Regions from separate parts of the Mus musculus genome. Here regions 2, 3 and 4 are each reported to be linked to region 1. Evidence: microRNA targets listed by miRTarBase, many of them from high-throughput screens and not tested one by one. Region 1 holds a microRNA gene; each other region holds the end of a gene's coding sequence.
The links. The annotated mature microRNA mmu-miR-9-5p reads UCUUUGGUUAUCUAGCUGUAUGA and lies in region 1 at 3,829-3,851, shown strand. An mRNA with a match to its seed (bases 2 to 7 or 8) in the 3' UTR can be bound and repressed. Matches are read on the target gene's strand: a 7mer-m8 pairs with bases 2 to 8, a 7mer-A1 pairs with bases 2 to 7 and ends in A, and an 8mer does both.

Region 1 (5,177 bases):
TTATAATGAAAGCCAGTTCACTTCATCACTTGGACCATGGACACTAATGTAAATAAAATGGCTTAAAAAATAAGACAATAGTAGTATTGACTGTAGACTACAATTTGCACATTTGTAATTCTTATAAATGAAATATTTAAAATGATTTGGTGTTGGGCCAGTTCCTTATGCATTCTGCATTCATGTGTATAGGATTCAAAGACGTTCCAAATATTGATCATAAACCAAGTGTATATGAATTAATTAAATAGCATATTTCTGGCCCAAATATGAGGAAAACCATAACTTTTTACTGTAAATCAGGAGAGATTGTTTTATCCCCAAATAAACTAGGATGTTTCAAGTCATGTTTCAGCAATTTGGAGACCTACAAACTATCTGCAAGCAAGCACAACAACCATACTCTAATCTACTAGATAGTAGTGAGAATTTAGTGCTTGAATTCAGGCTGCTTGAATTCAGTATATCCTTCTCTATGCTGATTTTCAAGTAGATATTCTGTAGCTCAGCTAGATAATCTTTTAAAAGCAAAAAAAAAATTAAGTTTAAAGTGTAGTTGCTAAGAGCTGCTCTTCACAGGTGACATCGCTAGGAGTCTTTGAAGATATGTAATTGTAACGTATTGTGGGGTATATATAATACATACAATAAACCATTTTATAAACCTTGGCAATCTTATAAATAAGGGGGCACTCGATGTTAAATCTTAGTATATTTAATTTCTTCTGTGTGCCTGTGAGGTTGATAGAGAGTTAAAATATTTAATTGACTACATTGCTAATGAACAGACTACCCATAATCCTGATCTTGGCTCATTTCACTCATTGGAGTTCCCATGATGAATACCAAGCGTGGAGACCGGCCTTGTAGTAAGTTGGCATGACTAGTGTTGCCCTAAGAATGTGGTATTTATTACAGCATCTTATTCAGATTCTAGTGGGAGAAGCGTTCAGATATGCAGTGTGTTAACTCATTGTAGATATTGTTTCTAAAAACACATTTTATTGTTAGGTATGGGAATAGAGTCATAATAACTTTCAAATTCAGAAAATATGTGAATAAATAACACCCTCCCAACACATAGATATATATATGTAGCTAGCACACCTAGATACATGTGAAGAAAAGAGATTCTATAAGACCATTTTTGATTTCTTGGGCTTTGGCTTACACAGTTGACTATATCTGATCACGTGCTTATTTTATGTAATACAAGCCAAATCATTAATTACTCTGCTGCTAGTTCTTGGAAAGCAAGGCCACGGTGCTCTTTAATCTTCCAAGCTGCAAAGCTCATTAGGATTTTTACATGATGTCAGAAGTGGCATGCGCTTCACTGAGTTGTTTATGCTGTGACCATATGGTTTAGGAATGAACAAAAACTCTATGAACATGCCTTTAGGATTGGATTGTAGTGTCCGTGTGTATTTTATTTCTGACTTCTCGTTCATAATTTGAAGAGAAATATAGACGAACTCTTTCCACATCTTAGTCTTTTCTCAATAGCCAGTTACAGAATGCTTACCATAAAAGTAAACAAATTAATATAAGGACAAATTGGCATCTCTGTTACTAAGCTGTAAGCCATATCTTAATTGGTGTGATATGTTTAAACTCTTCATTGGAGATGTTTCCTATCATTAAAACACAAACCAAACAAACAAACAAAAAAAACTTGTCAGTCTCTTCTTTACAGAGTTTAGATTTTAGGGCTCTGTATGTGATTAAATAACCAGGTTCTTATTTATGTGTTAAATGAATAAATTAGTGAATTACTGAGAAAAATTTTATTCCAAAAAAATTAATAAATCCAAAAGTATTTTAGCCACTGGGGAAAATAGACACATTATGGAATTGAGAGCATTGTGAGGCACAGGTGATGTGTGCAATGTACATTTAGAATTACTAATTCTCCTTTAGCATGTAACTTAAAGAAAAGCAACATTACTAAAAAATAATTAGTAATTTGAACAATAATCCATAATGTTTACCCACAGAGAACATGCTTCTTATGTAGATTACCATGAATATTTTGTTGAGAGGGATTTGAATGTTAGATATTAGATGTGCTAGACAGATTATCTATTATAAAGGATGAGAAAGAAAAGGATTCTTTGAAGTGATTTTAAAGTCACACTTTAAAAACTCCTAAGACAATGAATGAAGCTAATTAATTAATGAAATGACCTTCTGCTTCTCGATAGAAGGATATGAGTGGGTGGGGCCAGGGAGGTGTGGTAGCTTCCCTCCCTCCCCATCCAGGTGTTGGATCTACATGTTCAGGAGACAAGACTTTTATTTTAATTTTATAAGCAAGTCTAGTGCATTATTGTCCAGTGTGAAATTTATGTTAAAACAGTAGACAAAGGCTCAGCATTTTTGCTACAGCAGAGTTGTGTACAACATTGAAACTATTGCTGCAATGTTTACCTGTGCAGCATGCTAACCCCCACACACACTCTATATGCAAAGCATTTTTAAAAAAGAAGCCCCACTGTTTAGATCGTGCAGTTCGAACTTACAGAACAAATATGCTGCCCTATCGCCACGGTACACAGATAGAAAACATGACTGAGCTGTAAAGCCATTAAAAACATAACACCAAAGCAAATTGTCATTGTAACCATCGACTCACTGCGTAAAAACAGAGCTGATTCCCAGCCCCAGAAAGCGAGGCCCTGCTTTAAGCAATAGTAAAGTGCCTTCCATCTGCCTGCCTATGCAATCTGCCAGAAGAGAAATGCAGGCAAAGAAGTTCCCCAGACCTGAAATGCTTTTATCTATCCTTAGAGAGAGATTTTCTCCATTCTTTGGATATTAGAGCGATCTACACTAGCGCCAAGGAGGTAAAAGGCCGCGGGTTGCTTTTCAAGGAGCAGTCCGTAGTGCTAGTGGATGAAATGTTGATTGAGAATATAGGGACTGCTGCAAAGCTGCTGCTGCCGTCGCCGCCACCGCTGCCGCCGTCGCCGCCGCCGTCGCCTGTGCTACTCCTGGCAGCAGGCGTGGGGCAGTTGGGTGACCACTGATGCATATCAATAACCATGTACTTGAGATTTCTCATGACATCATCATTACCTTGGTCTCCCGCAGTCTCAAACCTTTGACCTTGCCGGGCTGGTCCACAATTTGGCGGTGAAAGCCCCTCCAATGATGGCCCTTTTCTCCTTCTTTCAGACCGGGGCAGCAGTACGCCAGCAAGAGGGCATGCTCTGCCCGCCTAGAAGTCCTAAGAAATCGAGGATCTCCCTTAAAACATTCACATACAAGATATGTGCAATCAAGCTGCCTGCACTTGGTAAAAAAGATCATGATGCCTAACCCAATGATCCGGAGCAGATCTTTGAATCAGCTGTCACTTCTATAGAATGGGATTTCCCCCTTCTTCCTCTTTAACCAGCGTTGGAAACTGCCGATGGCTTTATACATCTCAGTAGAGGAAGGCTAAAGAATCTTCCGTGAGAATGAAGCAATTTACAATGCAAATAGAGGCCTGTGAAGAGAAGGACACTGCTGCTCACCCCCAACAGCTTGCTGCACCTTAGTCTCTGGTCTTAATTTCTGATACTCATAGATGAATTGTTGGCTAACGATACTGGAGATTACTTGCTGGAAGGGGAAAAGTTTGGAATAAACTCTGAATGCAACAGATCTCATTTGGATGTTCTAGCCGCACACACTAAGACAGAAACCAGGTCATGTTTACATGAAAGGAGAAGCTTAAACGCGGCAAGTACCCCGGAGGACTACGCTTCCCTAAAGCCAAAGAGGATCGAGATCTGGAGTTCAGCCAGAGGAAGGCAGCCTTGTGAGGGAAGCGAGTTGTTATCTTTGGTTATCTAGCTGTATGAGTGTATTGGTCTTCATAAAGCTAGATAACCGAAAGTAAAAACTCCTTCAAGGTCACCGAGGAACGTTCCGGAAAGAAAGACTGCAACCAAGAGACAGTAAAAACCAGAAAGGTCAGGAATGCTTATTGAATCTAACTTTTTTTATCTTATGATTGAAAGTGGGATGCAAGAAAATTAAGTGACACGCATATTGAAATCTAAAGGGGCCAGGCTTTGAGGGGCTTGTACAACTGGAGAGGAGAATTGTGTAGTGTTTTTTACGGGTGACGATGCATGTATTTTCTATATTGTTCATTTTGAAGCAAACGTTTACATATGAGGTTTTTTTTTTCTTTTTTTTTCTTAGAAAGCTGTTATAGTGATGTCTGGTACCTCGCTTAAAAATGATTTCATAATTATGTAGATTTGGGCTGTTCCTATCTGAGGCCCCTCCCCCAAGTTTGAAGCTTGTGCCTGGAAACTTTCTATGTATTTGGGTGTGTACATCAAATTCTGTGAAGTTAGACTTTCAGTAAAGCTTATACTGGAAGGTTAATAATTTATATCTACCGAAGACTTAGAGCTAGCAGGGAAAAGGGGTGGGGGCAAAGGCTGATTTTTATTCTTCTATTCAAAATACAAGGACAGATGCTTCTCTGTTCCAAGAGGGTTTCCTTGAGGAAGCTACTGAAGCAGAAAGACATGATGGAGACGAGATCGCCTCCCCTCTTGTCAAAGTGTTAAAAAAATGTTCTGTCTTACTCTGCGCCTAGCATTGGAAATGAAAGTGACATTTACGCCACAACCCACGTGTGCGCCTCCTCTCTTTTTGTTTAAGGATGATCAGGTCTATCCAGGAAACAGCTCTGGCATCCCAAACTGAAATAATTAGGACGTATATAGACCTGACAAAAATGGAAAGGGGGTGGGGAATCTGAGGGTCTGTCTTGCCTAATTGATTCCGCTAAACGGAAAGCAGGAGATGTGAACGGCAGGACGCTCCGATTCCCACGCTCGGGGGCAAGTGGTAAAGCCTGGCCGGCAGCCTATGACAGACAGCCCTGTTGGGGGGTAGGGGTATGAAAAAAACATCAAGCACACACACACCATACTCATCTCCATCGCTTAAGAAAGTAAAGGCATTTCCCACCCACAGCCATCTGCAGCCTCCCAAATGGCAACACCAACTGGTTGGTAGCTGCTATGTACTGTCTCTGTTCATTTTTAAACCTCTGTTTAATCTGGCCATGATTAAATTTGGATTTCTCCTTTGGTTGAAATTTTCACCATTTAAGGAAAACAAGTGGAAAGGGTGCCAAGAGTGCCCCAGAACTGCATGCCCTTCTC
Region 2 (5,000 bases), not on the chromosome of region 1:
CTAAGCTAAAGTAACACTTTGTGTCTACCGACAAGAACAGAACATATTGGTTATAAGTTTGTTTGCGGATGAGTTAAAGACTCCAGCCTTAAGGCTGACAGTGACTTCAGTCCAGATAGTTGCTCTGTTGAATTGATTTGATAAAGTCTGGAGCTATCCCTAGTATCTGTTAAGTATTATTTAACATCTAGGGAGGGCTTTGATGCATGACCTGGCATCACCACTACCTTCAGGAGTTAGTGACTCTCAGGGTCTCATTACCCACTGATGGTATTCATGCACAGGCCTGCAATCTGTTCCTTCCCTTCAACTGAAATGTGGCAGTAAGACAGGGCCACTGATTTCAAAGGACACTGACCTACAACCTCAGTCTGCTGAGCACACATCCCTACTACAGCACTAGTCCTGGAAAACAAGTCCTTGGTGAACAATTCAAACCAAATATGAAGATCATCTCTGCAATTGGTCTATTACACATTTAGGAAAAGAACATCTTTGTCAAACTCAAGAACAGTTATTTTTAAGAATGTAAATATGTACTGATTCTTGTATGGCTTATGGTAATTTTACATACTGCTGGAAATTATTATATACATAATAAAAGGTATTCCTGAATCACTGACCGTGGATAAAGGTGTGCTGTGAGTTTTTTCTGTGCAGGTTTTCATGGATACCCCATTTTAATAGAATTCACTCACTGAGTCTTTCTTAAACAAGTTAAACAGAACTACTGACCAAATTTGCATTTTCATTCTGTCCACTGGATACAGCAGTCCTAGAACTCTTAACCAGGATGCACACGGCCCTGCCACAAAATCTACATTCAGACTTTAAGTGACTATCAGACATTCCTCAATACTAGTTAAGTGTTTTTCTGGATTAGACACATATTCACATTCATTATACATATTGTTGGCTCATTAATAAAAATAATTTTTCTAATAGTACGTCAATTAACTTTCTTTCTGGTGACAACAGCAATACCAAAGACTGGCAGTGAAATCTAAGGACAGATTTTTATAGAATGGCATCTCTTGGGCTGGAGTGATAGCTCAGCCATTAAAGGCTAAGCTCACAACCAAAAATAATGAGTTGGCATCTAACCATGTATTCCAGGCTGCCCTGAAACTCACTCTACTGGCCTCCAGCTCAAGGTTCAGTAACATATCTACCTCTGCCTCCTGCAAAGGCTGATTTTAATGATAGGATTGGAACATCAAGACCAGAAGTACAGATGCTCATAGGTACTCCAGGACACCAAAGCCAGGACCAGATAATTATAGGAGTTGTCTTTATAATATTTATCTAGAATTATAAGAACATTAGGCGTCAGGTATTAAAGGCTCTGAATTATCATTAATAACCAAGCAAAGACTTACTGTCCATATAATTACTGTTTATTGAAAGAAACTATTCCTTAGCCCACACATATTCATGTTTCATAGTTCAGGAGCGCAGGTCAGCAATGAACTTCTTTGGAGCGCAATCCAAAGAATTCTATGGAGAGAAACACAATAGCTTTGTGAATGATAAACAATCTTTATTACTACCATCCATAAAGTCTAGTCCTACTAGACTGTAAACTTTCTAAAATGTAAAAACTACATCTCAATATAGTCAACTGCGGATGAATCTATTACTAACCTGCACTTGATGAAAAACTGAAAGCTTTTCCTTTAGAATCAGCAAAAAAAAAAAAAAAAAAAAAAAAAAAAAAAAAAAAAATGCCAATTCTTGCCAACATAGTATTAAAGTCCTAATCAGAAAAATCAGTTGAGAAAAAGAAAATACACCCAAAGGAAGTAAAATCTGTAGGTAATATTTTATAATGTAGAAAATTCTAATAATACACACAGAAACAGAAAGGTTAGAATGAGTTTTACAAAGTTATAGGGCATAAAATTGTAATACACTAAAGTAAAAATAAAACAATTCTATTTATAATTACTTTGAAACTAATAGAACACTTATGAATAGAATACTGAGCAAAGATATAAAGTGCTGCTGGAAGACTGCAATATTGCAATAGTAAGATGTCTATACACTCCAGAGCAATCTACAGATTAATGGAATCTTTATAAAAAACCCAACCATTTTTTGTAGAAAAAGAAAACCCGCTGGGCGTGGTGGCGCACGCCTCTAATCCCAGCACTCGGGAGGCAGAGACAGGCGGATTTCTGAGTTCGAGGCCAGCCTGGTCTACAGAGTGAGCTCCAGGACAGCCAGGGCTACACAGAGAAACCCTGTCTCGAAAAACAAAAAACAAAAAAAAAAGAAAAAGAAAACCCACTCTAAAATTCAGAGATTCTCAAAGGAGCTCAAATATCTCAACTGAGGGGGTTGGGGTGGAAGACTCATATATAATGAAACCTCTGTGGTACTGCCCTGATAAACAAACCAGGCTTGAGTGATGGTTCAGAATATGGATGCTTGCTATACAAGGATCCTAGTTCAAATCCCCAGCTCCCACATAAAGTCAGGCATGACAGTGCATTAAAACACCAGCATTGGGGGACCAGAACCAGGAGAATCTTAGGAGCTCACTGGCCAACCAACTAGTCAAGATGAAACAGCTTCTTGTTAGCAAAAGACTACCTCAATAGACTAATGCAAGAAGCAACAACAACAACAACAACAACAACAACAAAAAATCTGAGGGTCCTTCATTCAAAGGGGAAGGACAATTTTTAAAAAATATTTTTGGGACAACATATTATCTGTATACTAAAGAATGAAGCTGGATCTTGCCATTACACCATAAACAAAAATTATCTTAATACGGAGGACTTTTAGAGCAGTGGTGCTCAACCTTCCTAATGACGACCCTTCAATACAATTCCATCTACTGTAATGACTCCCAACCATAACACTACTTTCATTGCTTCTTCCTAACCATAATTTGGCTGCTGTTGTGAATTGTAAATACCTGGTATGTAGGTTCATCTGATATGAAACCCCTAAAAGGGTCATGACCCACAAGGTTGAAAAACACTGACTAAAGAGGTGCAGCTAAATTAAAGCATACACTTCATACAATCCCCAGCACCAGCAAAAAAGAAAGACTCAAAGACATAAAAAGCATTAAGACTCTTGAAAGAAAGTGTTTAAGATACTGGATTTGGCAGTGATTCTGGGATGGCCTGTTTGACAGAAATATAAGGGAACAACTCATCTAAAGTAAAATTTAAAAAATAGTCAGCAGAGTTGAATAAAAGAATCCCCAGGATGGAGAGCTGGCCAAGTGGCTAAAGCACAAAAATAACAATAAAATCCAGAGTTTGGATCCCCAAAATTTATATAAATGCCTGACAGACATGGTGGTTCATCTGCAATTGCAAGAGTAACCTGGTTAGCCAGCCTAGCCTCATGAGAGGGCTCTGGATTCAACTGAGATCCTGCCTCAATACTATAGAAAATACTAAAGGAAAGTACTCTTAATATTAACCTTGGACTTACGCACGCACACCCTACATACATATGAAAGGGGAAAATCCCCAGTATACCCAAAGAATATACAAAGTGGCCAATAAGTACATGCAACACTCGAAGCTACAAATCACTAGGAAGCGCAAATCAAAACCACCATAAAGTATCTCAACCCACTACCAAAAAACACACATACACTGGGAGTGAGTGTCGGGGAAAGCACCCTCACAGGGGCAGGGGGAAAAGGATGGGATAGGAGGTTTCCAGATGGGAGACCTGGAAAGGGGATAACATTTGAAATGTAAATAAATAAAATATCCACTAAAAGGGAAAAAACAAAGATAAAAAAATCTACACACACACACACACACATATATATACATGTATATACACATATATATGAGTACATGTATGTATGTATATAGAATAAGATGTAGTCGATTGTAGAATGCTTTCCAAGTATGCACAATACTCCAGGTTCAATTCCCAGAAACAACATACAATGGAGTATTTTCAGCCTTAAAAAAAGGAGGGAATTACTGACATGTAAAATGTACCCCCACCCAGCCCTTAAACAGGCTGAGCAGTTGACTGCTATCACCAGGAGATCATCGGGGGTGGAGCCTGCCACCCTATCCTTCTGCCACTCCCACTGCTACTACCGCCACCTAGCTGTTCCAGAGTACACACGTGGTCACCTACAGCTGGACTCTGAAGATGATTTGGCGGGAATGGGCCCCTCCCCCTTCCTTATAACCTCAGTTTCTGAATATTAAAATTGATCAGAATCTCTTGACTTAGCTCCATCAAGCCGCCTACATTCCCTCTTTTCTTCCAGATTTCAAGATGCTTTCCAGGCTCGAACCCGGACATGTGAGCCGCTGGCCGGCCTCAACAGTAAAACACTGTACTAACTGAAATAACTGACAAAGGGCCAGCAAGGCGACTAGATGGGTAAAAGCACTCACCGCCTTAATCTGCCAACCCAAGTTTGTTCCCTGGAACAAACCCATATAATGGGTGGAAAGAAAAGCAATTCCAAAGTTTTTCTGACATGTATCCCATGCATAGAAGGAGAAAAAGGGGAAGAAGAAAAGCAAATAATGTAGTTTAATTCATAAAAAGAACTACTTGTCAGTCTGGAAGAAAAGCATGGCGGCTCTTTCCTAGACAGTAGCAGTTTTATAAGAACTGTACAGTTAAGATAATTCACTAGTTAAACATTTCTTAGACACAACTAAAAAGTAACTGTAATTACCTTTGCATTCTGAAATCACTTGGCACTCTGAAAGATACCAGCCTTCCTCATCTCTTCGAAATCTTTCATGGAATCATAATTTCTGTAGAATTCTGCATACGCCTTCTTTCTTGGCTCAGCCACGCCAAACTAAAAGGTAGCATAGCCCGTTACAGAACTTTCTTTTCAGATTATTAGAAATGCATAAAAACAAAATAAACTAAGAAGATACTTGTACTCAGTCTTTACTGAGCCCTCTTATTTCCTAGACAAGGAGGGGGGACACCATGAAAGGAAGAGTCTTGTGGCAACTATACAGCAAAAAGCTCCCTACTAC
Region 3 (5,000 bases), not on the chromosome of region 1:
AGGCCAGGGGCGTGAGCCCTGATACCCTTTTTCTTTTTGTTTTTTAACATAAGACTCTTGTGTTTGGCTGTTCAATTCGGCTTTCTGCAGTGCCCCTGTTCATAAATTGCCCCTCTACACACCACCAGTAACATCTTCAGGCAGTTGGCAGGAGCCACAGTCTAGTCCTGGTTTAAGATAGGACCTCAGCCCTGCCTGCCTCCCTGGGTTGGAGAGGAGGTGGAGAACATGGGTCTTGGGTTGCACTCACTCTGCCCACCTGCTCCCCCAGCCTCTTCCCCACTATGCCACGTCACAACCTGCACAAGATTGCCCCACTGGTGAAGTCTCTCTGCGCCAAGCATGGCATTGAATACCAGGAGAAGCCGTTGCTGAGGGCCCTGATCGACATTGTGAGGTGAGGGGTGAGCTCCACAAGGGCTGAAGCTCTGGAGCACTGGAAGGGGCCAGAGATGAGGTGGGGCTGAGGAGGTGAGAGGCACATGGCTGGCCTTACTCACAGTAGGGACTCTAGCTCACAGTGGGGATTCCTGTCTACCCAGGGCTAGAAGAGGACCTCCCCTCTCTCCTTTCCCAGGGGTTTCTCTGGGGTGTATTAGTCAGTAGCCCACAGCTCCTGTGGTATCCTGTGGTAAGTGGTGAGCCCTAGTCAGTAGCTGAGAGGAAGCACCTGCCGCCCCAACATGACTTCCCACAAGTCTCACTGCCTGGAGGCCGAGGTTCCTTCCATCTGGTTCCTGAGCCCTGCCCCCCTCTCTCTATTTGCAGTTCACTGAAGAAGTCTGGGGAGCTGTGGCTGGATGCTTACCTCCATAAATGAAGCTGCCGTCCTCCGGGCACCCTCGGGAAAGGGGCACTGTTGGGTGACAGCCAGAGGGAGGGGAGGGCTTTTGTTCTGAAGGGTTCTCATGAGACTGAAGTGTCTGCTGCCTCACATTCCCCGGGCTTGCATCCTTTCTTGTTATTCCTCTTCCCTCACCCCTACCTACTCCATTCTCATGGAGTTCCCCCTTTGTCAGCCCTGACCCCATCCCCTCTGCCTCCCAGTCCCTTCTCCCAGAGAGCCGGAGAGGTGGTTGTCTCAGGTGGTTACGCGTCTGCCTTTAACTTCTGCACCTAAAGATTCCTGGTATGAGATTCTGCTCCTGGCAGCCTAGTCCCCACCCCCTTCTGTCCCACAGACACTCTGGGGGCCTGTGGAACAGGAGTCCAGGACTTGGCTCTACACTCCCTGTCAGCATTATGGTGTAGTCATTTGGGTGAAGACATGCTTCGTTCTGAGTGTCTTTCCCATGGCTGGGATTGGTACTTGAGGCTTCTTTCCAGCTGCCAAGGACCACCTTAGACTTTGAGGACCAAGGAAAAGTTCTCTCATGCCCACCATCACAACTCCAGACCATAGGGTTTGTACAGGTTCTATTTCATCATCTACCCAACTCCAGAAACCAAAGGGAGTGTTCCTTGTGCGGGCTCAGGAGAGGCAGTAGCCAGGTTGAAGGAGGGACTGACCAGCCTGGAACTTTAACCTCTCCCACTACAGTCAGGTGCTTCTGAGTTAAAAGGCCCAAGATTCTAGAAGGATCAGATCTTTTTCCAGATCCTCTGGCCAGTTCCAGATGCTTGGTCTAGAGAATGTGGACCTTGCAGGAGAGCCCCTGAGCAGCTCTCCCCAGGATAGAGCTGCCAATCTAGCCAGCACTTGGCTTCTTTTTGGCTCATCCCTGTCTTTACAGATGTTTGTTTGCTTGTTTGTTTTAGCTGTTGTGTTAACATTTCCTACAGAATTCTTCTTAATAGGAGAGTAGCAGAGGGCTGGCTGGGTCTTAGGACAATCCATCTTTACTAGATGTCCCTTGCCCTTCAGGTAGAGCTAGGCTTCGCCTTCAAGGCCACAGTATACGCTGTGGCTTGAGGTTGCTGCTATCAGAAAGGCAGGAAAAACAGGGTAGGGTGTGAGGTCTCAGGAGGGCTGTTGGGGGTACCCAGTGAGGCTCAAGCAGGAGTGTAGAGGGAAGAGGAGGCTGAGGGCATGAGGGAAATGTGAGGGCAGGTGGGAGGGGGGACGTCGGCTATAGCAGGAGGGGACCCACGCTATGTCATTCTGAGGTCTAACTGGACTAACCAACCAATATGTAAACTGGAGGAAAAGGCTGGGCCTGCACAGGGCAAGCCCTCTAGGACTCCATGAGCCAAGAGAGACCAGTTGGTATTGTTCCACAGAGGCAGAGAACCCATAGGAGATGGCAGTCATTTGTATCATCTTGTTCCCCGCCTCTACTTTTTTGGGAAATAAAAAAAAAAAAGTAATTTTATTCTCACTTGCCTGTAGTTCAGCAAGATCAATGGATGGCTAGTGTTCCTGTATGCTGATGTCACAGGTGTGGTAATGCAGGGTCTGGGAGGAAGGGCGGTGCTGCCCCACAAGAGCAGGGCCTGACTGTTAAGGCGAGTGGTGAACAGAACCCTCCCTGGTCCTCTCTCTAAGAGGACGGTGACGGGTCTGGAGACTGAGGCTTTTATTTTGTGTTGCTGTGCCCATGTGGAGTCTCTACAGCCTAGGGAAGGTCTATATCGTTCCAGCCCTGGTTACAGTTCCTACGCCCTGGTCTGACCTCCAGCCTGGGAAGCCAGAGTCATCTGCACCTGAGGTACCTGCCCAATTCACCTTGCAATTGGACCCATGCTGCATCCATCTCGGAACAGGCTCAAAGGGCCATGTCACTCCAGAGGTGTCAGAAGAGCCATCAGGCATGGGGTGGCCAATACTCCCGAGGTTTCTGTTGGCCTTGTAGCTGCTCCCAGCAAGGTTGGGGAGTGCTCCAGCAAAGATCTCATCTCCATAGGTGACCAGAACCTATCCATATAAGTATGGAGGGATAGTAGGAAGTCTGTGGGGGGTGATTCCCAGTGACCACACTGTAACTAGTACAAGGCTTGGGATGGCAGACATTGTCACTGATCCTCTGAGTGGCCCTGCGTGAGTCTTCCTCCACCTCATCTCCAGGGTACTCACTGCCACAGTTTCCTCCTTGAGGAAAAGAAATCATGGGATAGAATGCCTCCAAGGCTGATTTCTGTCAGTCTCCAAGAGCCTTGGCTTCACCTGACTGATAAGCCCCCTGGAGACTTTGGTGATGGCAGACTTGTTTGAACACACCTTCAGAACTTACCTATGTTTGTCTTCCACTTGCTGCTTGGGCAGGACCTGGCCCCCCAATACCCAGAATGCCTCAGGCCAAACCCTGCCAACTGTGAATGTGGGGTCTATGGCAGCTGACACCCAGAGATCTGGGGAGTGGGAGGGTGACTGAAGGGAACCCGGCAGGGATAGGTGTCTCAGATGTGAAGGTAAATTTAGGCTCACATCCATGAGCTTGTGTTTTCTCATATACACTCCTAGCTTCTGCCTTGAGCGCTACCTAAGGTCCAGAGCAGAAGACATACATCCCTGCTCTCTACATGAATAGCTCCTCTCTTGTTACAGTGCTCAACTGAGGCTATTGGCCAATATCCCCAAAGTTGTGGGGTGGGTTCTGTCCCCTAACAAGTCATGGACTTCTCTAATATTTAAAAGCCCAGCCTAATGAAACCCTAACATCTCACAGGCCAAGAAGCTGACACCAGAGAGGGGAAGATACTCACCCTGAGGCAGCACAGTGTCAGCAGAAGAATCAGAGCATACATGGGGAATACCAGTTGGCTGGGCCATCTCTTCCCCTTTACCCCATCATACCAAATGTCATATTGTACGGGAGGCTGGCCCCAGGGGTAGAGGCAGGCAGTGGGGCAGTTAGTTCAGGTGAAAGAGATGATCAGGAATGAGGTGCTATTGAAAACAAAACCCCTACTATCTTTGAGGTAGTATGAGCTTATGCCAGACAGCAGACTCAGAGGCTTCTCTGGGGCTGTTGGAGCAGCCTGAACATCTGTGCGTGTCTATCTGTGTGTATAACTGGAAGCCCAGAGGTTTCTGTACGTGTCTGTCTGTGTGTATAGCTGGAGGAGCCCTCGGGGCCACTGGGAGGGAGGAGAAGGCCTCAGGCAAGAAGGTCATGGAACAGAAGGAGATTACAGCCACTTGGGAAACCATACCTTGGGCCTCTTGCGGCTCAGCTGGCTTGGAAAGTACTGTTCAGAGGACAGCTGCTGCTGTGAGATAGATCACACAGCAGTGGGTCCCAGCAGGTCATCTGGTGACCTGCGAATGGGCTGGAGGAAAAGACTTGCTGTACGATCTGGACACTGGTGTTCTTTTGACTGACAGGACTGCGCATTTCTAGGCAGACTGGGTTCACAGATAAATGAAACATAAAATTGCCCAGTGTCTCAGGACTTCACAGTGGCTCCACTGCCTCCTGCCAGAATCAAGCCTTTTTCTTTTTTTCTTTCTTTTTTTTGGGGGTGGGGGGGTGGGGGTGGGGTGGGGACTTGGAAGGCACTTAATTGGGTTTTGCTTCAAACCATTTGGTTCAAGAGCTAATAATGCCTAAAGGGAGCTAGTAACAGGAAACAGGGCTTGGAAAGTACTGGTGTCTTTAAGAACACAGTATGTTTTAAGGACAAAGTATGTTTACACATCGTTCTTTCGCAAGGCCTTTATCTCCCCACCGCCAGCCGCACCCACAAAGGCAGAGGCTGGTTCGTGGGAGCTGGCCACTGGAGTCTCTTAGCTATTGGTTGACCGAAAGGACAAACAAGCCGTGACTTCCCTCTGGAACCTTTCTTTCTGGATTCAGGACTGTTGGACAGAAAATAGAAAGGGAGACAGTGGGGTCTTTCAAAGGTACTACCATGGCCTTTTCCTGTCCTCTTGATAAGTGTGGTCTGTGATCTCTACAGGAAGACGGACTCAGGTGAGTGGAGGTGACCCACTGCCAGGAGCTATAGCATAGATGACAGGGGAAGGTGGGACAAAAATGACCTATCAGTAATGGGCTCTGGGTAGAAGGAAGAGACCTAAAGGCAGGGGTCTCTGCAGGGTATTTTATTGGATAACTCTG
Region 4 (5,000 bases), not on the chromosome of region 1:
GGTGTGGGTGTCCTACTGTCAACCCCGTCTGACTTGGCCCCTTCCCACTTTGTCCCCTGCAGGTGGAGGTGGGAAAGCCAAGGTCTCTGGCAGACCTAGCAGCCGAAAAGCCAAGTCGCCAGCACCAGGCCTAGCGTCCGGAGACCGACCCCCTTCTGTCTCCTCAGTACACTCAGAGGGGGACTGCAATCGCCGAACACCACTCACCAACCGTGTGTGGGAGGACCGGCCCTCATCTGCAGGTGGGTATCAGCTAGGAGTAGAGATGTATCCAGGGGTTGGGGGTTACCTGGGCTACCCAAGAAAGAAGGTCCCTGATCACCACTTAGCAAGGAGGATATAGGAAGAAACCTATCAGAGGGTCCTGTGTAGCTGGCCAGACCTTCCAGGCATGGCTCGTCATACAGGGGAGGCTGGCAGCCTTTCTTGCCTGTCAGGCACTGTAGGATTTTGACAGGACAGTAAAGGCAGTAGAAGACAGGACAGAGGGAGAGCGGAAAGGTTTTACTGGAGTCCAGTCAAACGGTGGTAGGGCTGTCGAGCACAGAGGCAAAGGGAGGAGGCCGGTTTTGAGAAACTCCAGAGTTAGAGGTCCTGGCCCAAGAGACCCAGGCTCTGGTTTCTTATATGGAAGACGGGTCCTGAGGTGCCTACGTGTAGCGGCTTGCAGAGCCTCCTGCAGCACTCTCCCATCTTTCTCGCAGGGTCCACGCCATTCCCCTACAACCCTTTGATTATGAGGCTACAGGCAGGTGTCATGGCCTCCCCGCCCCCACCTGGCCTTGCGGCAGGCAGCGGGCCCCTAGCTGGTCCCCACCACGCCTGGGATGAGGAGCCCAAGCCACTGCTGTGTTCACAGTATGAGACACTCTCGGACAGCGAGTGACCACGGATTGGGGGGGAGCGGTGCCAGGTCCCCGCACAAGGCAGAAGCAGCCCAGCATGGAGCAGACAGCTGCTGACTCCCGAGACTGAGGAAGGAGCCCCTGAGTCTGCCTGCGCGTCCATCCGTCCGTCCGTCCACTCATCTGTCCATCCAGAGCTGGCATCCTGCCTGTCTAAAGCCTTAACTAAGACTCCCACCCCGGGCTGGCCCTGCGCAGTGACCTTACACTCAGGGGATGTTTACCTGGTGCTCGAGAGGGGAGTGGACAGGAGGGGAGGGACAGCGGGCCAGGAGGGGGGGGGACAGCAATCGTGTGTCAGTCGCACTCGTGCATCTGGGGCAGCGGGGACCCACCACAGGCTGACCAGGCACCTCCATGCCACCGCCTCGCCCCTTACCGCATTTGGAACCAAAGTCTAAGCTGAACTCTCGCGTGGTCCTGCCCCTCCCTCTGCCCCCAGCCCGCTTGCGCTCTGGACAGACAGACGTTCCCAGCTTATCCTGCCCTAATGCTGTCATCATCGCAGTCTCCAAAGGCCACCCAGCCCACAAGACTGGGAGCCCATCAGACCAGGTGGGTGCACAAGGGGCCAGGCCTGGCCTGGGGCACGGATGCTTGCAGGAACTGGACCGTTTCCCGGCCTGTTGCTGTGGCAACGGGAGGGAAGGCACGTGTAAATGGTGTTGGCTTACAGGGTATATTTTTGATACCTTCAATGAGTTAATTCAGACGTCTCACACAAGGAAGGACTCGCCCGTGTTTCTGCCGCTGTGCTTTGGTCTCTACCTACTGTTTCAGAGGCACGTGCCAGCCAAGGCGGTGGCCCCACCATACGCAGGACTTGGGGGTCAGGGGCTCCGGCACACGGCACTGTGCCCTTCCCCCCCACCCCCTTCCTTGGGCAAAATGGACTTGATGCGTATTCTGTGGCCGCTCTCTGTGCACGGCGGCATTCTGTCATTTACACATGTTGTTCCAATTAGAAAGCAAATATACTCAAGTGACAACGTTTCTACTCTGCTTCTCACTGGGCAGCAGGCAGCCACAGGAGTCAAGGGGAGTGTTCCTTAAAGTCAGCACTGAGCAGTGAACATTGACCCCTAAGTACAGTGCCACCAGAGGGCATCCTGCATGCACACGTATGAGGAAGCCACCAGGTACTTGTGTCGTCGATACCTTGCTGGATGTTCACACCGGTGGGGGACCCATTGGTCATTCACACCAGTGGTCATCGTACAGGGGTGTTCACACTTGTTGGGGAAGCCAGCCAGTACCTGTATTATACGGTGACTATGTGGAGGTGTTCATACCCGTGGAAAAGGGTCCTGGGCATTCACCCTTGTCACAGGAGAGTAGTCATTGCATTCTTCACGGTGACAGTGTGTGGTACTTACGGGGTGAAGATTACTGTCTCGTAGTAGGCATTGGGGTCCCTGCCTGTGGCTTAGCCTCTCCTGTTCTTTCTTGTGGGTGTAAATTTCCGCCAGTCACACCCACAGTGTGCCCTTCCCCCCCACAGTGAGGGTGTCCTGGGGACTCTTGCTTCTTGCTCTGCACTGTTTTGATCCTGCCTGTTGTGTCAGCGGTAAGTATTCTTGAACCTGACCGAAATGGCCACACCTACCTCTTTGGGTTTGATCTAAGAAACTCCAACAGAGCCCTGCTGCCACCTTGGTGCCTGTTGTAATCAGGGTTCTCTAGAGCAGTGGCTCTCAACCTTTCTGTTCCTGTGACCCTTGAATACAGTTCCTCGCGTTGTGGTGACCCCCTGACCATAGATTTCATTGCTACTTCATAACTGGTTTTGCTACTGTTGTGAATCATAGCATAAATATCTGATATGCAGGATAGTTGATATATGTCACCCCTATGAAAGGGCTGCCTCTAAGGGGTTGCAACCCACAGGTTGAGAACCATTGCTCAGGAATTTGTGTGTTACACATACATACGTGTGTATATGTGTATATATACGTATGTGTATATATGTGTATTTGTATATATACAAACATATACATACGTGTATGTATGTGTATATACATATGTGTATAGCAGAATTTATTAAGAATAAGCTTTTTAAAATATTTGTTTTATTTATATTTCACATGTGTTATAATGTTTGGTCTTTGTGTATATCTGCACCACAGTGCTTGCCTGGTATCTGCAGAGCTCAGACTAGAGACAGGTGCTCGTGAGCCACCAATGTGGGTGCCAGGAACTGAACCCTGGGTCTTCTGGAAGGGCACCCCCGAACACATCTCTCCAGCTCCTTGAGTGAGCTTTAAAATAGTAACACAGCCAAGCCCCACCCACGATGCTGAGAACAGTTTGTGTGGTCCTTGGACCTGAGTGCCTCAGAGTTGTCCCAGAACAGCTTGCCTCTCACTGCAAGGCGATGACCCTTAAGTCACTGAGTAAGAGTGCCAATCTGGCACCTGGAAGCTCAGAAGGTTTCTAGAGAGCCGCTGGTCCCCAGGCCGCCAGGAAAGCTTAGCCTGGCTGTACCGTCAGCCATGGGGTTAGCAGTGCTATCAATGAGGCAGAGCCGCTCTGAGTGAAGGGCGAGGTGATCGCCTTCCTGGCAGTTCCTTTTGTACCTGGCTGCTGCCTGAAGGTGCTGCCCACAATCCAGGTGTGCCTTCCCACATCAAAACCGTTGGGACAGCTCTTCAGGTGAGGCTCCCTTACCTCATTTGTGACAGGGTGACATTTAAACCAACTCTCGAAGCAGGGCTGAGAGGGCTTCCAGTCTTTGCACTGAGTCAGTTGATCTGCTCCATCCTGGGGCCTGGGGCCCCTCTACATCCATCCATACCCATCTGTACATGTTGTGACACCCCAGCCTGCTGTCCCCAGTCTGCCACCTGGCTCCAGAGCTGGTTTGACAGTTGGTCCACAAAGGCCTGGGCTGAACTCACTTGGCCTTACCCCGCTGCCAGGTGGCTGGTTTAGTGCCCTCAGAGGCCAGCCATTCAAAGAGAGGGGTGTGGGAAGCAACCAGGCAGGCCCGTACCAGAGTCTTCATCTGGCAGTCATACTCTTTCTGCCAAGGTTCCTGCCTTGCACTCATCCTTAGCTCCTAGCCTGGGCAGCCAGGGAGGGATGCCATGGCAGAGGGTCCCAAGTCTCTGGAATGAAACCCACCTTGGCTCTGCTGGGAGGTGGCTGCTGGGTCTGATAAAGGAAAGGAGATCTGAAGCAGCCATAGGCAGGAGTCTGATCATGAAGGCTCTGGTGGAGGTATGTATCTCCCAAGAACAACCTCCCCAGCCGCCTGAAATATCTGAGCTAGAGTGTGGAGAGACATTTGCATCCTCCAGGGAGTCCCAAGCTGCCCCGAGTCTGTCCTGTGAACTGTCAGGAGCAGACATGAGCTGAAACCTGGAGACCACCAGGCAGGTCTGTACCAGGCTGGCTTGGAGGGGCTCGACCTTCATCCAGACTGCAATACAAAAGCTAGCAGCCAGGGGGTGCTGTGGGCCTCATCTTGGACACAGCCAGCTCCACCTGGACGGTCAGGTTGCTTTGCTACACCGGTTCACGGTGTGGTGACCCTCGGCTGCCACCAGACAGGAGCTGGTTTGAGCTACCCCATTGTCTCCTCCAGCCGCATCTCTACCTCTCAGATATGAAACCCATGTCTCCCTTGATACTTCCTGAGGCCTAGACCATGACAGAGATGTGGAGACAGAGCTTGTACCTTTGGAGGGTTTCTTCTGTCCCCTAGCTGTAACCAGCCTGTCCTCGCTCCACCTTTAAAATGGAGGCACATGTGACTTCTCTCACCCTTGCCTCCCAGGAAGACACCTGGCTACACTGCAACGTCCAGCCGTGGTCCACCCTTCTCTAAGAACACCCAAGCTCGTTCCTCTTGGTCTCTTAATACAGAGAGAGCTAGTCCTGCATCAAGCCACATACCCCTCCCCCCTAGGAGACCCCTCCCCCCTAGGAGAGCTCTGCCCACCGATCAGATACACACTGATCCCCTACCTAGGCTTGATTCGGAAACAACACAGACCATGTCAGTCAAGGAGGACTTCCTAGAAGTGGCAGCCTTCAAAAGACAGGTTGTGGGGACACAGCTTGTGCTAGACTCTTGAAAGCCAGGGTGGGGAC

Region 2: the mRNA of Cox6c is a reported target of mmu-miR-9-5p. Seed matches in the 3' UTR shown: 7mer-A1 at 1,473-1,479.
Region 3: miRTarBase lists Fads2 as a target of mmu-miR-9-5p. Seed matches in the 3' UTR shown: 7mer-m8 at 1,445-1,451.
Region 4: the mRNA of Ncor2 is a reported target of mmu-miR-9-5p. Seed matches in the 3' UTR shown: 7mer-m8 at 1,295-1,301.

What each region holds. Positions count from the first base shown.
Region 1 is chr13:83,734,993-83,740,169 of GRCm38, forward strand. It overlaps Mir9-2 (microRNA 9-2), which reads left to right and starts at 3,822; the gene lies at 3,822-3,893. It overlaps C130071C03Rik (RIKEN cDNA C130071C03 gene), which reads left to right. Exons shown (of 4, transcript NR_152245.1): 4 at 3,178-5,177. Gm51268 (predicted gene, 51268) reads right to left here and starts at 3,884; the gene lies at 3,829-3,884.
Region 2 is chr15:35,930,601-35,935,600 of GRCm38, forward strand. It overlaps Cox6c (cytochrome c oxidase subunit 6C), which reads right to left. Exons shown (of 4, transcript NM_053071.2): 3 at 4,685-4,813; 4 at 1,376-1,497. The coding sequence ends at 4,700. It overlaps Vps13b (vacuolar protein sorting 13B), which reads left to right. Exons shown (of 62, transcript NM_177151.4): 62 at 1-629. Among named protein-coding and RNA genes, the nearest start is that of Cox6c, 5.1 kb to the right of the region's middle.
Region 3 is chr19:10,060,083-10,065,082 of GRCm38, reverse strand. It overlaps Fads2 (fatty acid desaturase 2), which reads left to right. Exons shown (of 12, transcript NM_019699.2): 11 at 272-397; 12 at 769-2,318. The coding sequence ends at 820. It also overlaps a transcript of Fads3 not described here. Among named protein-coding and RNA genes, the nearest start is that of Gm29917, 15 kb to the right of the region's middle.
Region 4 is chr5:125,014,053-125,019,052 of GRCm38, reverse strand. Ncor2 (nuclear receptor co-repressor 2) reads left to right here. Exons shown (of 47, transcript NM_011424.3): 46 at 63-242; 47 at 705-1,900. The coding sequence ends at 886. Among named protein-coding and RNA genes, the nearest start is that of Rflna, 13 kb to the right of the region's middle.